Linked DNA regions of Anolis sagrei. The protein of the gene in region 1 interacts with the protein of each later gene in a pairwise test. Links are inferred from orthologs where the notes say so. Each region holds a gene or a part of one and is shown in the gene's direction. Other genes may lie near its edges.

Region 1 (7,514 bases):
TTCCTTTTAAAATTTATCAGTGAAGCGTCTATCCAATTCCTCAAGGGAGACCAGCTGCTATTTCACAAATGCCGCTCTGCTTCGGCATAATCTCTTCCTCCTCTGTTCCAACATGAGGAACTAGCAAGCATTACATTAATAGCCCTGGGAGTCGGAAGAATTAGGCAATTGCCATGGAATTCGCTGGGTTTGTCCTTGTCGTCATAAGTATCCCTAAGGACAGAAGTGGAGATGGGGGGAGGCATGGGAGGATGTTTCCAATTATTTATATAATGTTTGCAAAGCCATGTTTGGAGAACACACAGAAGAGAATCAAGGAAGGTTAACAGCAAAATAGTTAAGATGATCGTGCCTGTTTTTAAGGTTACTGTTGCGCGGTCACGCGCTGGGCCTATAGCAGTTGGCTTTTGAACAGGACGTGCTCTTTGTGCCCAGCGGGAAGCCGGGGTGCCTCGAGTGAGAGGCCCTAAGGATTTTCCTATACAAAAGTCTTTAGAAGCTTAAAAAGTTTATAGAATCATAGAATCAAAGAGTTGGAAGAGACCTCCTGGGCCATCCAGTCCAACCCCATTCTGCCAAGAAGCAGGAATATTGCATTCAAATCACCCCTGACAGATGGCCATCCAGCCTCTGTTTAAAAGCTTCCAAAGAAGGAGCCTCCACCACACTCCGGGGCAGAGAATTCCACTGCTGAACGGCTCTCACAGTCAGGAAGCTCTTCTTCATGTTCATAGAATCATAGAATCAAAGAGTTGGAAGAGACCTCCTGGGCCATCCAGTCCAACCCCATTCTGCCAAGAAGCAGGAATATTGCATTCAAATCACCCCTGACAGATGGCCATCCAGCCTCTGTTTAAAAGCTTCCAAAGAAGGAGCCTCCACCACACTCCGGGGCAGAGAGTTCTACTGCTGAATGGCTCTCACAGTCAGGAAGTTCTTCCTAATGTTCAGATGGAATCTCCTCTCTTGTAGTTTGAAGCCATTGTTCCATTGCGTCCTAGTCTCCAGGGAAGCAGAAAACAAGCTTGCTCCCTCCTCCCTGTGGCTTCCTCTCACAGATTTATACATGGCTATCATATCCCCTCTCAGCCTTCTCTTCTTCAGGCTAAACATGCCCAGCTCCTTAAGTCGCTCCTCATAGGGCTTGTTCTCCAGACCTTTTATCATTTTAGTCGCTCTCCTCTGGACACATTCCAGCTTGTCAATATCTCTCTTGAATTGTGGTGCCCAGAATTGGACACAATATTCCAGGTGTGGTCTAACCACAGCAGAATAGAGGGGTAGCATTACTTCCCTAGATCTAGACACTAGGCTCCTATTGATGCAGGCCAAAATCCCATTGGCTTTTTTTGCCACCACATCATATTGTTGGCTCATGTTTAACAAAGTTCTTTATCATTTCTTACGTCTTCAACAAGCAATCAAATACTTCTTGGATCTTCAACAAATTAAACAAATGCTTCTTAACTTGTCTACAAAGGACAGGCAACTTGCTTGGAGAACTATTTCTTTCTTTAACAAGGAAAACCCTTTTTGACCCTCCCGGGCAATCTGCTTTCTAGGTTCTGCTGGTGTGGGCTTCTACTCCCGGCTCCAATTGCTTCTGGTTACCCGAGTAGACCTACCAGTCAAGACTTTGTAGATTTTCCAGCTGGAGTCCTTTTGGATTTTCTCCATGAATGGTGTAGATCAGTCTTCTTCTTCTTAGGCGATCCCTCGTTTTCCGAGGAGGATTGTCTTCCAGTGTTATTGTGGGTCCGTATGTGGCTGTGGAGCCCTATTCTTGCTCTGCATCTTCTTCCGCAGTGAGGGCATCGGTTTCCAGGTGGAAGGCGGTCTTGGTCGGGGTTGGCTTGATGCGCTTTCCTCTTGGCATGTTTCTCTCTTTTGCCCTCCATTCATGCCTCTTCAAATTCTGCAGCACTGCTGGTCACAGCTGACCTCCAGCTGGAGCGGTCAAGGACCAGGGCTTCCCAGTTCTCAGTGTCTATGCCAGACACTATAGTAACAATTTATTTATTTATTTATTTATTTGGTTTACTTTTACCCCGCCCTTCTCACCCCGAAGGGGACTCAGGGCGGCTTACATATCCAAGGCACAATTCGATGCCCGTAACATACAACAATAATAAAACACAATAGCACAAAATAGCAAACAATAACAATACATCATATCTATAACCAATAAAGCCCATAAAAATTTCATACAAACCGATACAAACCAATTGCTCCTTATTGCCGGTCAATATTTGCTACCTCATAGTTCAGAGTTTCATTCCACACTTATCAGTCCTGCCGGTCCTATTTTTCTGGTTGTCCTTACTTGGTTGGCAGATTGCCCGAAGGCCTGGTCCCACAACCACGTCTTTACCTTCCTCCTGAAGGACAGGAGTGATGTCAATGTCCTGATATCCGCCGGGAGTGAGTTCCACAGGTGAGGGACCACCACTGAGAAGGCCCTGCTCCTTGTCCCCACCAGCCTCACTTGGGAAAGTGGTGGGGTCAAGAGCAGGGCCCCCTCTGATGTTATTAGATTCCGTGGTGGGACGTAGAGGGAGATACGTTCGGACAGATACACTGGACCGGAACCATAGAGGGTTTTGTAGGTTAAGACCAGCACCTTGAATTGGGCTCGGGACTGAAACGGCAGCCAGTGGAGCTGACACATCAGAGGGGTGGTATGCTCTCTGTATGTCGCTCCAGTGAGCAGCCTGGCTGCCGCTCGCTGGACCAGTTGAAGTTTCCGAACCGTCTTCAAGGGCAACCCCACGTAGAGTCCCTTCTTAAGACCATTACAACTGCCAACAATGATGGATCAGGACCACAATTTACACAGAGACCCAGCATGACCCACTCTACATCTGGTGCGGTTAGGAAAAAATTGTCAATGGATGATGGGACTTGCAATCACTTCACTCACTTCCTGAGACCACTGACTGATCAAGACCAAATTTGGCACACAGAGTCCCCATGACCCACTCTACATCCTGGTGCACTTTCGAGGAGGACAGACCATGGATGATGGGACTTCAAGTACCTCCACTCCCCAAGACTGCTGCAACCCTCACCTAATGTCCGATCAAGACCAAACTTGGCACACAGAGCCCCCATGACCCACTCTACATCCTGCTGCAGTTTTGGAGGAGGACGGACAATGGATGATGTGACTTCCAGTACCTTCACTCACATTCTGAGACCTCTGCAAACCTCATGCAATGACTGATCAAGACCAAACTTGGCACACAGACCTCTCATGACCCACTTTACGTCCTGGTGTCATTTGGAAAAAAATGGAGATGGATGATGGGACTTGCAGTAACCTCACTCACTTTCTGAGACCACTGAGACCCTTGCCAATGACTAATCAAGACCAAACTTGGCACACGGAGCCCCAATGACCCACTCTACACCCTGGTGCAGTTTGAAGGACAGACCATGGATGATGGGACTTCCTTCCCAAGATTGCTGAAACCCTCATCTAATGACCGATCAAGACCAAACTTGGCACATACAGCCCCCATGACCCACCCTACATCCCGGTGCTGTTTGAAAGATGGACGATGGATGATGGGACTTGCAGTACGTTCACTCACTTCCTGAAACCATAGCGACACTCATTCAAAAACCAATAAAGACCAAACTTGTAACATAGAGCCCCCATGGCCAACTCAACATTCTGGTGAGGTTTGGGGAGTACAGACTATGGATGATGGGACTTCAAGTACCTCCACTCACTTCCCAAGACCTCTGCAACATTCATCTAATGACCGATCAAGTCCAAACTTGGCACACAAAACCCCCATGACCAACTCTCCATCCTGGAGCAGTTTGGAGGGGGATGGACCACAGATAATGGGACTCACAGTAACTTCACTAACTTCCTGAGACAACTGCGAGGCATATAAATAACTGATAAAGACCAACCTTGATACACAATTCCTTTCTCAAATAACCCGGGCAGCGCCGGGTCCCCAAGCTAGTATATAATATAATTCATCTAATATAATATAGGAAGATTGTATATTTAACATATATTGTAATATAGTAATAGTAATATTACTCCAGCAGCAAGATCTTTTTGAAAGTGCAGGTCCCATCTCCCACCAGCAGGGGCCGCTGTCGCCTCTGAAGCGGCTTGCCCATTCATGGACTGAAATTGGACGAGGATTCCGCTGAAAAGGGGGCGGGGCGGGGGCGGGGCTTGGATCATGTAAATGCAGGCTCCCTCTCACACCAGCAGGGGCCGCTGTCGCCTCTGAAGCGGCTTGCCCATTGATTGGACTGAAAAGGGGGCGTGGCTTGGATCACGTGATGCACTCTGCCCCGCTCTGCATGCTGCCAAGGCTCGCGGCGGGCGTCACGTGGTCAGGGGCTCCTCCTCTCTTCTCGCGAGAGCTGGGTCCATTTCCGCTTCCGCTTCCTTGCTTGTGAAGAAGAAGAAAAGAAGAAAGCGGAGGAGAAGGAGTCTCGCCCGTGTTCCTCACTGTGAGTCGTTAAGATGTAATATAAGGTTATATTAAGTGAATTATATGTATAATACTCCATTATATGTGACTATACAATATGACTAGATGATATAATACTAGATGAATTATATTGTATATAATATTAATTAATAATTAATATATTATATTGTACATAATATTAATATATATTAAAATATCATTTACATTATTTATGACTATACAATATATGATATAATACTAGATGAATTATATATAGTATTAATTAATAGTTAATATATTGTACATAATATTAATATATATTAAAATATCATATAAGTTATATAATATATATTATTACTATATTTTATTGTATTATATATTAAATATTATATTAGATTAATTATGTATTATACTGTTACTATATTATGTTACATTATATATTAATATACAATATTCCTATATTATATTAATTGAATTATATTATATATAATATTAATTAATAATTAATATATTATATTATACATAATATTAATATATTAAAATATCATAAGTTATATAATATATATTATTACTATATTTTATTGTATTATATATTAAATATTATATTATATGCATTATATATAATATCACTATTACTATATTATATTGCATTATGTATTAATATACAATATTCCTATATGATATTAGATGAATTATATTATATATAATATTAATTAATAATTAATATATTATTCACAATATTAATATGTAATTCTATATTAGATAAATTGTATAATATGTATTATTACTATATTATATTGTATTATATATTAATTAATATATTAGATGACTTATATATAATATTAATAATATATTATACATAATATTAATATATAATACTATATTAGATGAATTATAGATAATATTACTATTACTGTATTATATTACATTATTTATTAATATACAATATTCCTATTAGATGAATTATACTATATATAATATTAATTAATAATTAATATAGTATACATAATATTAATATGTAATTGTATATTAGATAAATTGTATAATATACATTATTACTATATTATATTGTATTATTTATTTATTAATATTATATTAGATGAATTATATAAAATATTACTATTATTATATTATATTACATTACATCTTAATATACAATATTATTATATTATATTAATTGTATTATATATAATATTAATATATTACACATAATATTAATATGTAATTCTATATTAGATAAATTGTATAATATATATTATTACTATATTATATTGTATTATATATTAATTAATATTATATTAGATGAATTATATATAATATTAAAATTACTATTATATTACATTATATCTTAATATACAATATTACTATATTATATTAGATGAATTCTATAATACATATAATGTAATATATATTGTATATACATATAATATTTATATTACATGTAATATTATTAATAATATTACAATATAATGGTATAGTACAATATAGTAATATTTAATACTGATATTGTACTATGCTAATAATACCATATATTGTATATGTGTATATCTTGTAAGCCGCTCTCAGTCCCCTTCGGGGTGAGAAGGGTGGCATAGAAATGTCATGTTATATATATATATATATATGTGTGTGTGTGTGTGTGTATACACACACACACACACATATACATATATATATATACATAATATTAATGTATAATACTATATTAGATGAATTATATATATATTACTGTTACTATATTATATTACATTATATAGGAATATACAACATTGCTATATTATATTAAATGAATTATATATATTAGGATATAATATTAGTATATAATATTAGATGAAGCCACGAAGATTCCGTGAGTGACATTGGGTCATAGAATAATAGGGTTGGAAGGGATCCCAAAGGCTATCTAGTCCAACCCCCTTCTTTCTGTGGCAATCAACCCTCCCTCTCACCACCCACCCCCAACAGATGCCCATCCAGCCCCTGTTTAATTTCAACAAGTACAAAGGTAAGATATGACACCTAGGCAGGAAAGAATGAAATGTGAAGATACAGAATGAGTGATGCCTGGCTTGACAATAGAACATGTGAAAAAAGATCTTGGAGTCTCCGTGGGCAACAAGCTGAACATGAGCCAAGAGTGTCATGCAGCAGCTCAAAAAGCCAATGCAGTTCTAGGATAGTGTCTAGATCAAGGAAAGTCATGGTGCTCCTCTATTATATTCTGCTTTAGTTAGACCTCTTTGCCTGGGATACTGTGTCCAATTCTGGACCCCACAGTTCAAAAGAGATATTGACTTTAAGCTGAAAGGAATCCAGAGAAAGGGATAATCGAAGGTCTGGAGAACATGAAAAACCTCTCTTAGAGAGCTGGGTCTGTTGAGAGGAAACCCAGAAGAGAAGGTTGAGAGGAGACATGGTAGCCATGTATAAATATGTGAAATGATGTCATAAGGAAGAGAGAACAGGCTTGTTTTCTGCTTCCTTTGAGACTAGGACTCAATGGAGAGGAGATTCCACCTGAACATTAGGAAGAACTTCCTAACTGTGATAACTGTTCAACAGAGGAACATTCTGTCTTGGAATTCAGAGGAGGCTTTTAAACAGAGGTTGGACAGCTATCTCTCAAGGGTGCTTGGTTGTGCTTTTCCTGCATGGTAGGGAGTTGGACTGGTTGGCCCACGAGGTCTCTTCCAGTTCTATTATTCTGAGGAGCTGGGGATGTTTAGCTTTGAAAAGAGGTGCCATGACAGCCATATTTCAGTATTTGAAAGGATGTCACATTGAGGAGGGAGCAAGCTTGTTTTCTGCTTCTCTGGAGATTAGGACACAATGGAGCAATGGATTTAAATGCCAGAAAAGGAGATTTCATGTAAACGTGTGAAAGAATATATTGGCAATAAGAGCTTTTTTGATAGTAGAATATGCTTCTGCCTGGGAGCCCAGTGGAATCACCTCTGGGGGTTTTTCAAAAGAGTCTGGATGGTGGTCTATTGGGAGTACTTGTATTGTGTGTTCCTGCATGGCAGAGGTTTAGACTGAATGGCCCTTAGGGTCTCGTCCAACTCTATA
Region 2 (7,361 bases), on another chromosome or scaffold:
AATCAGAAGACGCTTACTTCTTGGGAGGAGAGCAATGTCCAGTCTCGATAAAATAGTGAAGAGTAGAGACATCAGACTTGCAACGAAGATCCGCCTAGTCAAAGCCATGGTATTCCCTGTAGTCACCTACGGATGTGAGAGCTGGACCTTAGGGAAGGCTGAGCGAAGGAAGATCGATGCTTTTGAGCTGTGGTGTTGGAGGAAAGTTCTGAGAGTGCCTTGGACTGCGAGAAGATCCAACCAGTCCATCCTCCAGGAAATAAAGCCCGACTGCTCACTGGAGGGAAAGATACTAGAGACAAAGCTGAAGTACTTTGGCCACATCATGAGGAGACAAGAAAGCCTAGAGAAGACAATTATGCTGGGGAAAGTGGAAGGCAAAAGGAAGAGGGGCCGACCAAGGGCAAGATGGATGGATGGCATCCTTGAAGTGACTGGACTGACCTTGAGGGAGCTGGGGGTGGTAACGGCCGACAGGGAGCTCTGGCGTAGGCTGGTCCATGAGGTCACGAAGAGTCGGAGACGACTGAACGAATGAACAACAACAACAACATATATATCTTGTAAGCTCTGAGTCCCCTTCGGGGTGAGAAGGGCCTCGGCCAACTTGGGCCCTCCAGGTGTTTTGGACTTCAACTCCCACAATTCCTAACAGCCGGTAGGCTGTTAGGAATTGTGGGAGTTGAAGTCCAAAACACCTGGAGGGAGGGCCCAAGCTTGCCCATGACTGCTCTAAAGGATGCCTTTCTATCCATTGCGGTGGAAGGTAAACAGTGGAGAAAGCGGCCGTCTTTTCCAACATGGCTGCAGAGTTGAGGCCTTCCCCTTCCTTCCCTCCCGCCTTCCTTTCCCTCAGGACCCGCTCCTTACCGCGGTGGAGCCTTTCTTCACGGCCTCCTGCGCGTACTCGACTTGGAAGAGGTGCCCATCCGGGGAGAACACGGTGATGGCCCGGTCGTAGCTCATGGCGACAGGCCTCAGGAGAAGGAGGAGAAGCAGCCAGCCCTCGAAACAGCACCGTCACCTTCCCCCACTGCGCAGGCGCGGGCGCCTTCGCTCTCGCCACAGGATGACGCCTTAGACGTGCGTCGGGAACGTAACCCCCCTTCTCCCCCACACGCCGCCGGCTCGACCAATCCCGTTCGCTCGCCGTCATAGCGGCTAATGGGATTGGCCAGACGGAGAACGAGCAGGCCCCGCCCCCTTTTCGCCTCAGCCTTTCGAAAGCCACTGTGGTTTGGGACTTCGATTCCCACAGTCCCTGGTCGTGAGTTGAGGCAGCTGAGGCTTCTGGGAGTTGGAGTCCAAAACACCTGTTAGGTTGGGAATCGCGGCGAGAGGGCATCTTGCTACGCTAAGGAGAATTGAGTGACGTTATGTTAATAGTGCGGTTGAGAGTAGAGTGACGGTACTCTAATGGCGCAGCTGAGGAGAGTTGACTGGAGTTACGCTAACGGCGCAACTGAGGAGAGTTGAGCGACATTGTGCTAACGGCGCGGCTGAGGACACTTGACTGGAGTTACGCTAATGGCGCAGCTGAAGAGATTTAAGTGGAGTTACGCTAACAGCGCGGCTGAGGAGAGTTGAGCGACGTTGCGCTAATGGAGCGATGAATGACGTTACGCTAACGGCGCAGCTGAGGGGAGTTGAGTGGCGGTACGCTAATGGCGCAGCTGAGGAGAGTTGAGCGACGTTGCGCTAATGCAGCGATGAGTGACAATTCACTAACGACGCAGCTGAGGAGAATTGGGCGACGTTACGCTAATAGCGCAGCTGAGAGTTGACTGACGCGCGGTTGAGAATAGTTGAGTGATGTAGCGCTAATGGTGCAGCTCTAGAGACTTAAGTGGAGTTACGCTAACGGAGCGGCTGAGGAGAGTTGAGTGGCGTTACGCTAATGGCGCAGCTGAGGATAGTTGAGCGCCGTTGCGCTAATGGAGCGATGAATGACGTTACGCTAATGGCGCAGGTGCGGAGATTTGAATGGCGTTACACTAATGGCGCGGCTGAGAAGAGTTGAGCGACGTTGCGCTAATGGAGCGATGAGTGACGTTACGCTAACGACGCAGCTGAGGAGAATTCATAGAATCATAGAATCAAAGAGTTGGAAGAGACGAATTGAGCGACGCTGCACTAATAGCGCATCTAAGAGATGACTGACTCGCAGTTGAGGATAGTTGAGTGATGTAGCGCTAATGTCCGGTCAGCCTCACGTCGATACCGGGCAAGATTTTGGAAAAGATTGTTAAGGAAGCGGTCTGCAAACACTTAGAAACAAATGCAGTCATCGCTAATAGTCAACATGGATTTATCAAAAACAAGTCATGCCAGACTAATCTGATCTCTTTCTTCGATAGAGTTACAAGCTGGGTAGATGCGGGGAATGCCGTGGATGTAGCGTACCTGGATTTCAGTAAGGCCTTCGACAAGGTCCCCCATGACCTTCTGGCAAGGAAACTAGTCCAATGTGGGCTAGGCAAAACTACGGTGAGGTGGATCTGTAATTGGTTAAGTGGACGAACACAGAGAGTGCTCACTAATGCTTCCTCTTCATCTTGGAAAGAAGTGACAAGTGGAGTGCCACAGGGTTCCGTCCTGGGCCCGGTCCTGTTCAACATCTTTATTAATGACTTAGATGAAGGGCTAGAAGGCATGATCATCAAGTTTGCAGACGACACCAAATTGGGAGGGATAGCCAATAGTCCAGAGGACAGGAGCAGGATCCAAAACGATCTTGACAGATTAGAGAGATGGGCCAAAACTAACAAAATGAAGTTCAACAGTGACAAATGCAAGATACTCCACTTTGGCAGAAAAAATGAAATGCAAAGATACAGAATGGGGGACAATGCCTGGCTCGAGAGCAGTACGTGCAAAAAAGATCTTTGAGTCCTCGTGGACAACATGTTAAACATGAGCCAACAATGTGATGTGGCGGCAAAAAAAGCCAATGGGATTTTGGCCTGCATCAATAGGAGCATAGTGTCTAGATCTAAGGAAGTAATGCTACCCCTCTATTCTGCTTTGGTTAGACCACATCTGGAATATTGTGTCCAATTCTGGGCACCACAATTCAAGAGAGATATTGACAAGCTGGAATGTGTCCAGAGGAGGGCGACTAAAATGATCAAGGGTCTGGAGAACAAGCCCTATGAGGAGCGGCTTAAGGAACTGGGCATGTTTAGCCTGAAGAAGAGAAGGCTGAGAGGAGACATGATAGCCATGTATAAATATGTGAGAGGAAGCCACAGGGAGGAGGGAGCAAGCTTGTTTTCTGCTTCCTTGGAGACTAGGACGCAGAACAATGGCTTCAAAATACAAGAGAGGAGATTCCATCTGAACATGAGGAAGAACTTCCTGTGAGAGCCGTTCAGCAGTGGAACTCTCTGCCCCGGAGTGTGGTGGAGGCTCCTTCTTTGGAAGCTTTTAAACAGAGGCTGGATGGCCATCTGCCAGGGGTGATTTGAATGCAATATTCCTGCTTCTTGGCAGAATGGGGTTGGACTGGATGGCCCATGAGGTCTCTTCCAACTCTTTCATTCTATGATTCTAATGGCGCAGCTCAAGAGACTTAAGTGGAGTTACGCTAACGGCGCGGCTGAGGAGAGTCGAGCTACGTTGCGCTAATGGAGCCATGAGTGACAATACGCTAACGGCGCAGCTGAGGAGAATTGAGAGACGTTACGCTAATAGCGCAGATGCGAGTTGTCTGACTCACGGCTGAGGATAGTTAAGTGACGTTACGCTAATGGCGCGGCTGCGGAGACTTGAGTGGTGTAGCGCCAATGGAGCGATGAGTGACGCTACGCCAACGGCGCAGCTGAGGGGAATTGAGCGGCGTTACGCTAATAGCGCAGCTGAGAGTTGACTGATTCGCGGTTGAGTGGCGTTACGCTAACGGCGCAGTTGAGGAGAGCTGAGAGAACGCAGCGCCGGCTGGGATGGCGGGGTGGTCCCGCCTCAGTTTCCACCTGCCACCCCGCACGCAGTTGGCGTAGCGGAGCCGCTTCCGTTTACGCAGTTGTCTCACGGAGGCGCTGCTAAGCTTGGCACAAGGCGGGGAGAGCAGCGATTGGCTCGCGAGGGGAGAGGCAGCATCGCCTGGGCTGGACCATGTTGGGCGGGCGGGGAGGGGAGGGGTGCGGGGAGGGGGCGGGGCCAGGCGGCGCAGGTGGCTCTCGGCTGCCTGGCGCGGCTCCCTGGGGAGCGGAGGGGCGCCCAGGTGGAGGGAGGGCGCGCGAGGGACGGGGAGGGGCCGGCTGGAGCGGAGCCCGGCGCTCCTGGCCAGGCGCGGAACGTACCATCTGCCCGGACTCCCCTCCCCATGCACTGCGGCGGCGGAGGCGAGAGAGAGGGAGAGAGGGAAGGAGAGAGGGAGAGCATAACAATATCTCTGCCCAGGTCTCCCCTCCACATCTCTTCCCACCGCACGGCGCCCTTGTATTGACACGTCCTCTCCAGGAAACAGGCAATAAGGAGGGAACCAGCACAGCGAGGGAGAGGGAGAGGGAGAGCATCCCACCATCATGTCGGTGGCCTTTGCTTCTGCTCGCCCGAGAGGGAAAGGAGAGGTCACCCAGCAAACTATCCAGAAGGTAAGGCTGTCATCCAGGGCACTGCTTTTGTGCCATCTCATCACAGAGCTCTACACATCTCTATCTGTCTATGTGTGTGTGTAATAATATAATATATTATTATAGTATATTATAAGGTGCTCTACTAATAATATAATATATTGTATACACATATAATCTTGATAATATTATAATTTAATACTCTGTGTGTAATAATATATTATTATAGTATATTATAAGGTGCTGTACTAATAATATAATATATTGTATACACATATAATCTTGATAATATTATAATTTAATACTCTGTGTGTAATAATATATTATTATAGTATATTATAAGGTGATATGCTAATAATATATATTGTATACACATATAATATTGATAATGTTATAATTTAGTACTGTGTGTGTGAAATAATATAATATATTATTATAGTATATTATAAGGTGCTGTGCTAATAATATATATTGTATACACATATAATATTGATAATATAATAATTTAATACTCTAATAATATATTATTATAGTATATTATAAGGTGCTCTACTAATAATATAATATATTGTATACACATATAATATTGATAATATAATAATGTAATACAATGTAATACTAATAATAATACAATAGAATAATTTTATATTTGTAATATTACAAAGAATATTACAGTATACCGGTATAGTACAATATAGTAATATATAATACCAATATTGTACTGTGCTAATATAATTCTTATTATATCATAAGGTGCTGTGCTAATAATATATATTGTATACACATATAATATTGATAAGGTTATAATTTAATACTCTATGTGTAATAATATAATATATTATTATCGTATATTATAAGGTGCTGTGCTAATAATATAATATATTGTATACCATTATAATATTGATAATGTTATAATTTAGTACTGTGTGTGTGTAATAATATAATATATTATTATAGTATATTATAAGGTGCTGTGCTAATAATATATATTGTATACACATATAATATTGATAATATAATAATTTAATACTCTAATAATATATTATTATAGTATATTATAAGGTGCTCTACTAATAATATAATATATTGTATACACATATAATATTGATAATATAATAATGTAATACAATGTAATACTAATAATAATACAATAGAATAATTTTATATTTGTAATATTACAAAGAATATTACAGTATACCGGTATAGTACAATATAGTAATATATAATACCAATATTGTACTGTGCTAATATAATTCTTATTATATCATAAGGTGCTGTGCTAATAATATATATTGTATACACATATAATATTGATAAGGTTATAATTTAATACTCTATGTGTAATAATATAATATATTATTATCGTATATTATAAGGTGCTGTGCTAATAATATAATATATTGTATACCATTATAATATTGATAATGTTATAATTTAGTACTGTGTGTGTGTAATAATATAATATATTATTATAGTATATTATAAGGTGCTGTGCTAATAATATATATTGTATACACATATAATATTGATAATATAATAATTTAATACTCTAATAATATATTATTATAGTATATTATAAGGTGCTGTACTAATAATATAATATATTGTATACACATATAATATTGATAATATAATAATGTAATACAATGTACTACTAATAATAATACAATAGAATAATTTTATATTTGTAATATTACAAAGAATATTACAGTATAGCGGTATACTACAATATAGTAATATATAATACTAATATTGTCCTGTTCCAATAATATATTGTATACACATATAATACGGATAATATAATTTCATACGATATAATTATAATAATAAGACAATATAATGTATATTTCATATGACATGTAATATTACTAATAATATTACAGTATAGTGGTATAGTGCAATATAGTAATATATAATACTAATATTGTGCTGTGCTAATAATATAATATATTGTATACACATATATTATTACAGTATAGTGGTATAGTGCAATATAGTAATATATAATACTAATACTGTGCTGTGTTAATAATATAATATATTGTATACACATATAATATTGATAATATTATAATGTAATGCAATATAATTCTAATAATAAGACAATACAATGTATATTTCATATTACTTGCAATATTACAAATAATATTACAGTATAGTGGTATAGTACACTATAGTAATATATAACACTAATATTGTGCTGTGCTAATAATATAATATATTGTATACACATATAATATTGATAATATTATAATGTAATGCAATATAACACTAATAATACTACAATATAATGTATATTTCATATGACATGTAATATTACTAATAATATTAAAGTATAGTGGTATAGTATAATATAGTACTATATAATGCTAATATTGTTCTGTGCTAATAATATATTGTATACACATATAACACTGATATTATTATAATGTAATGCAATATAATAATATAATTTAACATAATATAATGTGTATTTCATATTACATGTAATATTACTAATAATATTACAGTATAGAGGTATAGTACAATATATTAATCTATAATACTAATATTGTGCTGTGCTAATAATATAATATATTGTATACACATATAATATTGATAATATTATAATGTGATACAATATAATACATATAATTGTATATTTCATATTACATGTAATATTACTAATAATATTACAGTATAGCGGTATAGTACAATATAGTAAGATATAATAATAATATTGTGCTGTGGTAATAATATAATATAATATATTGTATACACATATAACTTGTAAGCCGCTCTTGTGTC

Evidence for each region.
Region 2: the proteins of MAPK1IP1L (region 1) and SS18L1 interact in binary tests that used the Homo sapiens proteins (3 or more experiments, as listed by UniProt). The two-hybrid records come from large-scale screens. The link is inferred for Anolis sagrei from reciprocal best matches to the Homo sapiens genes MAPK1IP1L and SS18L1.

What each region holds. Positions count from the first base shown.
Region 1 is NC_090021.1:337,014,005-337,021,518, reverse strand, and holds the start of MAPK1IP1L (MAPK-interacting and spindle-stabilizing protein-like), read left to right. Parts: upstream 1-4,383; 5' UTR 4,384-4,485; intron 4,486-7,514.
Region 2 is NC_090024.1:232,273,415-232,280,775, forward strand, and holds the start of SS18L1 (calcium-responsive transactivator), read left to right. Parts: upstream 1-4,198; 5' UTR 4,199-4,526; coding exon 4,527-4,595; intron 4,596-7,361. Other genes in the region: PSMA7 (proteasome subunit alpha type-7), read right to left, coding at 871-966. UniProt on the Homo sapiens protein: Transcriptional activator which is required for calcium-dependent dendritic growth and branching in cortical neurons. Recruits CREB-binding protein (CREBBP) to nuclear bodies.